2 linked regions of the Oryctolagus cuniculus genome follow. The protein of the gene in region 1 interacts with the protein of each later gene in a pairwise test. Links are inferred from orthologs where the notes say so. Each region holds a gene or a part of one and is shown on either strand. Other genes may lie near its edges. The genes, in order: FLII and LRRFIP1.

Region 1 (4,346 bases):
ACCCTGCTTCTGCCAACCTTGGCGATGAGGTAAGGCACTGAGAGCCAGGGCATGAGGGGGTCTCAGGGCCAAAGCGGCTGGGGCCTCGGGCAGAGGGGCGTTTGGGCTAGGGCTGGGACTCCAGGCGTGACCTCGGGCAAGGCCCGCTCCGGCCTCAGTCTTCCCGTCTGTAAACTGGGCTAACAGTGGGCCCAGGGGCCATCGCGATGGGTGGGGACTGGACCAAGAGGCTGGCAGGGGGCAGCTGGGCGGGCAGCCACTGACCAGGACAGAAAGGTCCTCCAACTTGAAGATGTCGTCAGGGACTCCGGAGTTCTTCAGCTGGTTGGCTCGAGCCACGATGGCCTGCGGGTAGACCACGAGAGTCCCTGCTTCCTGGCTTCCACCCCCCGCCCCGGGAAGAGGCAGAGGCAGAGGCAGAGGTGGGCCCCTTTGGGCCTGCCCTGTCTCTGCTCTACAGCCTCCCGCGGTGAGCTCCTATTCACGCTTCAAAACCCAAATGTGCCCCAGAGCCCAGCACGGAAACCCCAGATGTTTCTGATCAGACACCCCTCCTGTTCATTCAGGAAGATGGGGTGCGGTTTGGAGTGAGGGTGGCTAGGACAGATGGAGGGGGCTGGAGTGAAGAGAGGGCAACGTGGGCTGACCGGAAATGCTTCCCTCCCTAAGGTCGGGGACAGAGCGGGGACCCATGCGACCCCGGGGCCGCCCCTGCCACCTCCGCAGCGCTGTGCGGTTGCCCACGGGGTCCCCACTGGCCCTCCCAGCCACCCCATCTGCAGAAGGGACTTGTCCCAGGCCACACAGCTGGGAGTGGCAGAGCCCGGCTTGGCTCCGGGGGAGCTCCCAGGGCTGAGGCTCCAGCCGGGGCCAGGGCCACCTCCCTGAGGCTCCGAGGGCCCGGCCAGCAGTCTAACATCCAGCAGGGAAGAGCGCCCACTGGCCAAACCCCGCCCCCCCGACTCCAGCTGTTCGGCTGCCCGGCTGTGTGGCCTTGGGCGAGTGACCTGCGCCTGTGGCCATGTCCTCATCTGCGACACCGTCAGGCATGGGGGGACGTGGACGTCCACTCGGCATGCCTGGCACCCGTGGAGCTGTCCCCACCCACAGGGACCACGCCACGTCCACCCACGACAAAGGGCCCCAGAGCCCGGAGCCTGGCAGAGAAGCCGGCCGGGCCCTGCCTGGGGTCCGGCACCCGCCGCACTCACCCGCAGAGAAGGCAGGCTGGACAGCTCCCCGTGAAGCGTGGTGAGGTTGTTGTGGCTCACGGACAGGTGCTCCTGTGCCAGGGCGGGGCAGCGGAGGCTCAGTGGGGCGGGGCGGGGGTATCCACAGTCCCCACCTGCCACCCCTGCTCTGCACAGCCCCAGACGGCCAGCGCCAGCCCAGGACGCCCCCACAGCCTCCTTCCTGCTCAGACCCAGCTTCTTGCACACCTCCCAGGACGGGGCGCTCATCCCCTCCCTGTCTGCCAGATCCTCCCAAGGCCCCGCCCCTCCTCCCCACAGACCCCACCCCTCCTCACCAGCTTCTGCAGGGCGGCTAGCTCCTCGGGCAGGTAGCAGAGGCCTGTGCGGTTCAGCTTCAGCCATCGTAGGCTTGTCATGGACTTGACATTCTCAGGGAAGTAGCCACCCTGGGGTGGGGGTGGGGGTGTGCTGAGGCTGGCCTGGGAGAGGGCTCCCCCTGCCCGTGGGCACATTTGAGGGAGGCCACACAGCCAACTCTCAACAACCACAAGATCCTCCCCACAGGCCCCGCCCCCTCCAGGGGAGCCCTCCCTACTGGCCCAAGCCCCTCCCCTACCCGTGGAGGCTCCAGGGGCCAGAGCGGAGGCCTAAGAGGGTCTCTGCTACTGCCCTTGAGCCCCAGGAGGGGCCAAGCAAAATGGGGATATCCTGGCCCCCCCATTGTGTGGTGAGCTTAGCTCAAATTCCTGGGCCCCATACTCTGGGTCTGCCTGGGCTGTGGGACCCCACCCCCACCCCGTACCCTCAGCACCCTGGCCACTCCTAGCAAGGTCCCCTGCCCTGTGTCCCCCTCTCCCAACCCTGCCCGAGTGGGTGCCACCTCCTTCCTTCCCCGTGTTCCCCTCCCCAACACCCCCCCCCCAGCCCTCGTGGCCGAGTCTGGGGCAGCCGCTGCAGCCAGTGCCCAGGGGCTGTGCCCCTCCCCCCACCGGCCACATTCCCAGCTGGTGACTCAGGCCCGCCCAAGCCCAGGGGAGAAGCGTGGAGACCCCAAGTGGGGATGGCTGAGGTCGGGACGAGGAACGGAGATGGGACAGCACAGATGTGGACAACACAGGCTGGACAGGAGCCCGCCGGCCTCCGCCCCACACCCTGAGACGCCTAAGTGGACAGGCCAGAGGTTGCCCATCACCGGCCGGAAGCCCCGCCCACCTGGCTCTGGCTCTGGGCGCCCCTACCCATATTGAGAACCTCCCCCCAGCCAGAGCGTCCAGACCGCAAGTCTACACTCGCAGGGTAGACTCGAGTCCCTTCTCCGGATGAGAAAAACCCAGGCCCGGGAGAGGGGAAGTGACTTGCCCAAGACCACACAGGATGGAGCGCAGGGCGGTGATGAGCCGCCTCCGGGCCCGCCCTTGGGCAGCCAAGGCAGCGGCGGCCCTGAGTCAGCGGCCGGCTGGGCCGTGAGACCCCCGGGGCGGCGGTGCGCAGGCCCGCAGCGCCCACGCCCTCCCCCGGCCTGGGCCCGCGCCGCTCGGGCTCGGCCTTCCCGCGGGGGGACGCTGGGCGGAGGCCCGGGGTGCCGGCTGCGGGCTGCGGTGGGGAGGCCCGCAGAGCCCCGGCCGCCGCCCGCAGTGTGGCCGGAGGCGGGCGAGGTGGTGCCCGCGCCGAGCCCGGATCGCCGCTCACCTTGAAGTCGTTGCCGCTGAGGTCCACGCCGCGCACGAACGGCAGCACCCCGGTGGCCTCCATGGCGGCGCCGCTCTCGCTGCCGGGCCGGCCGGGCGCTGGGGGCGGCTCGGGAGCCGCGGGCTGGGCCAGCGCCGACTCCGCCCCGTTAACCCGCCCGCGCCCGCCGCCGCCGGCACCTCGGGCCTCGCCGGGGCCCGGGGCCTTGCGCTCTGGGGACCTCGCCGGGGCCCTGGGCCTTGCGCTCTGGGGACCTCGCCGGGGCCCGGGGCCTTGCGCTCTGGGGACCTCGCCGGGGCCCTGGGCCTTGCGCTCTGGGGACCTCGCCGGGGCCCGGGGCCTTGCGCTCTGGGGACCTCGCCGGGGCCCTGGGCCTTGCGCTCTGGGGACCTCGCCGGGGCCCGGGGGCCTTGCGCTCTGGGGGCCTCGCACTCTGCGTCCGCGCACAAGGGGTCCCCGGCGGTCTCCGTGCGGAGCCGGGGCGGCCCCACCTTCCTCACCCTACCAAGGTGGTGGCCGGCAGCGAGTGACCACGCGCGCACGTGCGGCTCGAAGCACGCAGCAGGTGCTTGGTGCGTGGCAGGTGGTTCTCATTAAGGCCCGCATGCAAACCACCCTTCCCAGGGGCGCTGCCTACGTCCCCATTGTACGGCACGGGAAACTGAGGCCCAGGCGGACAGAGGGCAGGCCCAGGGACGCACGGGGCCGGCGGCACACCCCCTACCCCGCGCGCAGACAGGTGCTAAGGCGCTCCCGCAAAGGTGACTTAGGGGTCGGCGTGCAGGCCTTTGGACCAGGTGCTACCACCCGTCTGCCCGGCCAGAGGAAGGAAACTGGGGCCCAGCCAGCTTCCTCCACGCGGGAGGCTCACATCACACACGCACACGCGCACGCATCCCCCGCGCCTCTGTGGGCTCCAAGCAGGCACCACGCAAACGTTGCGGGCCCAATAATGCAGCCCTGCGCCTTTAAATCCGGAGTGCCCCCGGAAAGCCCCGCCTCCGAGGGAGCGCGCAGGGCGGAGAAGGGGCGTGGCAGGCCCCTCATTGGCCGAACCTCGCAGTGTTTTGGAACGCCCCTGAAGAAGCCGAGCGCTCCGATTGGAGCTAGGGCCTGCTCGTCTGCCTACGCCAGCGCCTCGGCCTTCGGGGCCCGGGTCCTTCACGTTCCATCCGCAGGCGGGTTCCGGCGCCGGGTCCCGGCGGGCCCGCTGCGTGGTCCGGTCGGTGTGTGGACGCCGCGACGCAGGTACGGCTGGGAGCCCGGCGGGGCCTCCCCGACAACCCGCATCCCGGGTCCCCCAGCCCTAGGTGTGGCGCACGTCCGGGGGCGGGGCCCGGGAGGATTCCTGTGAGCCCCGAGTTCGAGTCCCGGCCCTGCCGTTCCCGGCTCGGGTGCTTGACTGGGTTTCCCAAGGCCTCCGTTGTCCTCGCCTGTGAACCGGCCCACCGAGGGACTGCCGCG
Region 2 (4,380 bases), on another chromosome or scaffold:
TCCCAAGGCAACCCCCTTGGTGACGGAGCCCAGCTCTCACTCCTGCTCCAGAGGGACTGGGCCCCTACTCATGGCCGTGGCCGTGGCCTCAGCCAGAATCTCCCCACTCCCTCTGGAAGGCACATTCCTGGACGCCTGACCCAGGTCCACCCCACTCCCTGCCACATTCCTAAGGGCTCGTCCCTTCCATCCTCCACACAGCCTCAGGGGAGGCTGGCTCTGCCCACTTCCAGGACGGGCCTGGCCCTGGGTCCAGTGTCCCGGTCCCAGTGCATGGCCCAAGGGATGCTGGGAGACAGGTGCAGGTGTCTCAAGGAGAGCTTCTGGGTGTCGGGACAGCTCCCAGATCAGGAAGGGGGCGGCTCACGGGGACGCGGGAGGAGGCCACCCACAGGGGTCGAGAGGCCCGAGCTGCCGGTGCGGCTGTGGGAATCCTGCCAGGCCCCGCACTTTCTGCACCCCAGCCCAGCCACCTCCCCTGAGGACCCGCACGTGTTCAGAGGTGTGTCCTAGCAGCCCAGACATCCTGACTGAAGGGCACACTGTGTGTGCATGTCTCTGTAAGTGTATGTGTCTGTGTGTATCTGTGCTGCATGTCTGTGTATATGGCCTGTGTGTGCACGTGTGTCTGTGTGTGCATGTATGCCCGTGTATCTGTGCCTGTGTGCATGTCTGTGTGTGCATGCATGTCTGTGTGCATGTGTCTGGTATCTGTGTGTGTGCTTGTACGTCTGTGTATCTGTGTGTGTGCGTGTCTGCGTGTATGTATATCTGTGTCTCAATCTGTGTCTGTATTGTGTGTATGTATGTGCATGTGTGCCTGAGTATGAGTGTGTCTGTGCAGGTGTATCTTTGTGTACATGTGTCTGTGCATGTGTGCATGTGTCTGTTTCTGTGCTTGTGTGCATGTCTGTGTGTGTCTGTGTGTGTATCTTTGTGTCTGTGTGCATGTGTGTCTGTGTATCTTTGTGTCTGTGTGCATGTATGTCTGTGTGTTTGTGTCTTTGTGCATGTCTGTGTCTCTGTGTGTCTGTGTATCTTTGTGTCTGTGTGTGTCTGTGTGTGTATCTTTGTGTCTGTGCATGTGTGTCTGTGTGTTTGTGTCTTTGTGCATGTCTGTGTCTCTGCGTGTCTGTGTATCTTTGTGTCTGTGTCTGTGTCTGTGTCTCTGTGCCTGTGTGCCTGTGTGCCTGTCTGCTACCCTCGCCCTCTCCAGTCCTGGCAGCCGGGGGACTTCCTGCCCTCCTTCTCAGAGAGAACACAGGCGCAGAGGAGGGGGAGGAGCTCCCTTCCCCAGGACATCACAGCCAGGGTCTGACTCCAAGTCCATCCCTGTGACTGGCAGCTGCTGCTCCCTGGTGGGAGGCGGGGCCTCCGGGCTGTCAGCCGGGCGGGCATTCCCCCCCTTTCCAGCCAATCTATTTTTATAGAACAGGCAGATAAGAGCAGACCTGGGAGACTCATTCTTCTCGTTCCTTTGTCCCACAGCCACCAGGGGAAGACAAGGACCAGCGTTCCCCAGTCAGCTCTGGTCCTGTGTTTCGGTTCTGTCCAGATACACGCACACGGGGCTGCCTTCATGGGGAAGGGTGCTGGCACCATCCAGACTGCTACAGGTGGCCAAAGGCCCTCTCAGTGCCTGTACCTGCTGCGCCCGGCTCCGTGCTGAGCTCTTGGGATGCAGAGGTGAGAATGACGTTGGTGGCCCGGGTATGACCTTCTCCAGGTGAGGACATGATTACGACCACAGCAGGTGCCACGTGGAGGCGCGGAGGCCCAGCCTGGGGTGAGGCAGGCATCACAGGTGTGGTGTCCACCCTGGCTCCCAGGGAGGCCTCGGAGTTTGCCCAGAAAGCCCTATTCTGTCTCACACCAGAAAAACAAGGCTTTCTCAGTGAATACTCAACAAATGCTGGTGGCCGCCCCACGTCGGCAAAGGCAAAGCCGGGGGGTTCAGGGTGGGAGACACCCCAGATCCCAGGAAGCGTGCGGCTGTGAGCCCACAGCAACCCCAGCTGCCAGGAAGTTTCCCCAGGTGGGACTCGGGACCGCACAGCAACCCTCCCTCAGGCTGACCCTGGGCGGCCGTGCACGTGGGCACACGTCCCTCTCGGTCCCGGCGCAGGCTGGGCACACAACCCCAAGGCCACAGCAGGAACAAGCAGGCTTCCTTTGTCCCCTGGAGACCCCGGCACCAGCTCCCTTCCCCTCCGCCACTGCCATTCACAGGTGAATCCCCTACCCACCCAGGGATGGGGAAAAGGGCCTTGGGACGGACACCCAGCAGTGCGTGGGGTTCACCGCGCGCAAAGTTCACTTCCCACAAGACCTCGGCTGCAGTCAGTCAGCCGCCCGACTTCCACCGAACCTCACCGAGCGCCTGCACCCCGCATCAGCTCCGCCCAGACTCAGGACGCGGGGACCCCCACCGGCACCCCCCAGCGCAAACGGCAGCCGAACACCCGGGCTACTGCGGCAGAGCCACGCGGCCTCGGGGTCCCCCACAGCACCCCTCACCGCCCGCAGCGCACAAAGCGGGCACTCGCCCCTGGCGGCCGCCCGCGCCCCGCCACAGCTCGCTGCGCCCCTGCTAGGCTCGCGCAGGGCCTGTCCCGAGCCGAGGACATGCGGGGTCCGCAGGCCGCCGGCGAGAGCGGGGGCGCGGGGAGACCCGGGCCGGGTCCCGCACCGCCGGGGGCCGCGCCTCACCTCGCGCGCGATCTGGTGTAGCGCGTCGTCCTCTGCCGTCAGCCGCTCCCGCGTGGGGAGCCGCTTGCGCCCGGAGCCCGGGGTGCCCATGTCCACGGCCGCGCTGCCCGCAGCTGCCCGCCGTCCACCGCCCCCGCGCGGCCCCGCGCGGCCCCTCCCTCCGCCGCGGCGTCATGGCGTCAGCGGGCGCGGGGACGCGGGCACGGGGGCGCGGGGCCCGCGAGGACGCCGGGGCCAGGGACGACAGGGGCGGGCGCGCGCAAGCGATGGCGCTGGGGACGCTCGCGCGGGGCCCGAGGGCCGGTGGGCGGGGGCCGGGGGCGGTGCGAGGCGCACCCCGGGGTCAGCGGGCGGGCGAGGGGTCCTGGAGAGGGCGGTGCGCTGGCGGAGGCGGGACCTCTGCGGGGCGCTGGGAAGGAAGGAGTCGGTGGGCACTGTGGGCTGGAGTGGGCGCAGGTGTGGTCCGGGTTCCACCTGCGCCAAGGAGGCTGTGCCGGGTCTGTGCGCCTTGCGGGTCTGGGTCACGCCCAGGTGCGTTCACATCATCTGCTCGCTGCTCAGCGGAGTGACCTTGGCCAGAGCCCTGGGAATCCGAGCAGGAATTCGGGGTTCTGTCCACACCTGCTCTGGAGCCCACAGCCGGGACCGGTCACTCCCCTGTGTGTTCCCGGCTGGTGCCGCCCTGTGCTGGATCCTGGGCTGTAGGAAAGGAACCCCCTGAGCTGAGTGGAAGGCCGCCATGGGCATTCAGTGGGTTTAAGGTAATTTGGGGGATTAGGTATGGTTTCTAAAGCCTTGCCCAGCATTCTGGCCGTTAGCCGTCTGGCTTGGGGAAAAGAGGCAGCCGCAGAGTGGGAACCCTGGGAGTGATGGGGATGTAGGGAGAAGTCTGGACAGGAGAAGGGTGGTGGGAGAGGGAAGGGGATGCGCTGAGCGCCGAGGCCACCGTGTTTCCTGCAGACCGAAGGACACGTTAGCATATTCCTAACTGAGCGGATTGTCGTGAATTCTCGGTAACCTGGAAGCTGGGTGGAGGAGGGGCGGGGAGGGGACCCCCGCGGTGGCAGGGCAGGACGGTGAGTTGAGTGACAGGGGAGGGAGGTGACATCCAGGGAACACCTGCATGACACCTGCTTGGCCTGAGGCGGGTTGGCAGGGCAGACCGTGTTGGTGTTGTTGTGCTCTGAGCAGGTGCTGCACCTGCACAGGTAGGCACCGGGAGGTAGCTGGGGTTGGATCTCCCCCACTAAGTTCACAGCACCCGGAGCCCTGGCTCCTCAAGTACCAGGTCCTGGCTGGAGGAAACCAGGCAGCCGCTCTGGCTGTGCCCTGGACTTGCTGGTGGCCACTGTCCAGCCCCACGGGTGTGTTGTGATGACTCCCCGTCTTTGCCAAGGCTCACGCATCCACCTGCAAGCAGCCAGGTGCTGTGTTGGAGCAGACGCGGCCACCGCCCTCTCGGGGCGGCTGATGGAGATGGCTGGGACCCTCATCCAGAGCCACGTCCCGGCTCCCATGTCTCCTGCCTTCAGGAGGGCTCCCTGACTCCCCAGGGACTGCCTCTACTTCCCTCTGTCCCTCATCAGAGCTCAGAGGCCCGTGTTACTCTAACCCTCCAATTCTGCCCGCATTGTACTCATCTCTGTGCCCATGCCGGGCATCCAGGGCCAG

The links.
Region 2: the proteins of FLII (region 1) and LRRFIP1 interact in binary tests that used the Homo sapiens proteins (3 or more experiments, as listed by UniProt). The link is inferred for Oryctolagus cuniculus from reciprocal best matches to the Homo sapiens genes FLII and LRRFIP1.

Annotation. Positions count from the first base shown.
Region 1 is NC_091448.1:62,266,673-62,271,018, reverse strand, and holds the start of FLII (protein flightless-1 homolog), read right to left. Parts: upstream 3,041-4,346; 5' UTR 2,946-3,040; coding exon 2,883-2,945; intron 1,640-2,882; coding exon 1,529-1,639; intron 1,284-1,528; coding exon 1,212-1,283; intron 346-1,211; coding exon 265-345; intron 1-264. UniProt on the Homo sapiens protein: Is a regulator of actin polymerization, required for proper myofibril organization and regulation of the length of sarcomeric thin filaments. It also plays a role in the assembly of cardiomyocyte cell adhesion complexes.
Region 2 is NC_091434.1:2,644,274-2,648,653, forward strand, and holds the start of LRRFIP1 (leucine-rich repeat flightless-interacting protein 1), read right to left. Parts: upstream 2,867-4,380; 5' UTR 2,800-2,866; coding exon 2,710-2,799; intron 1-2,709.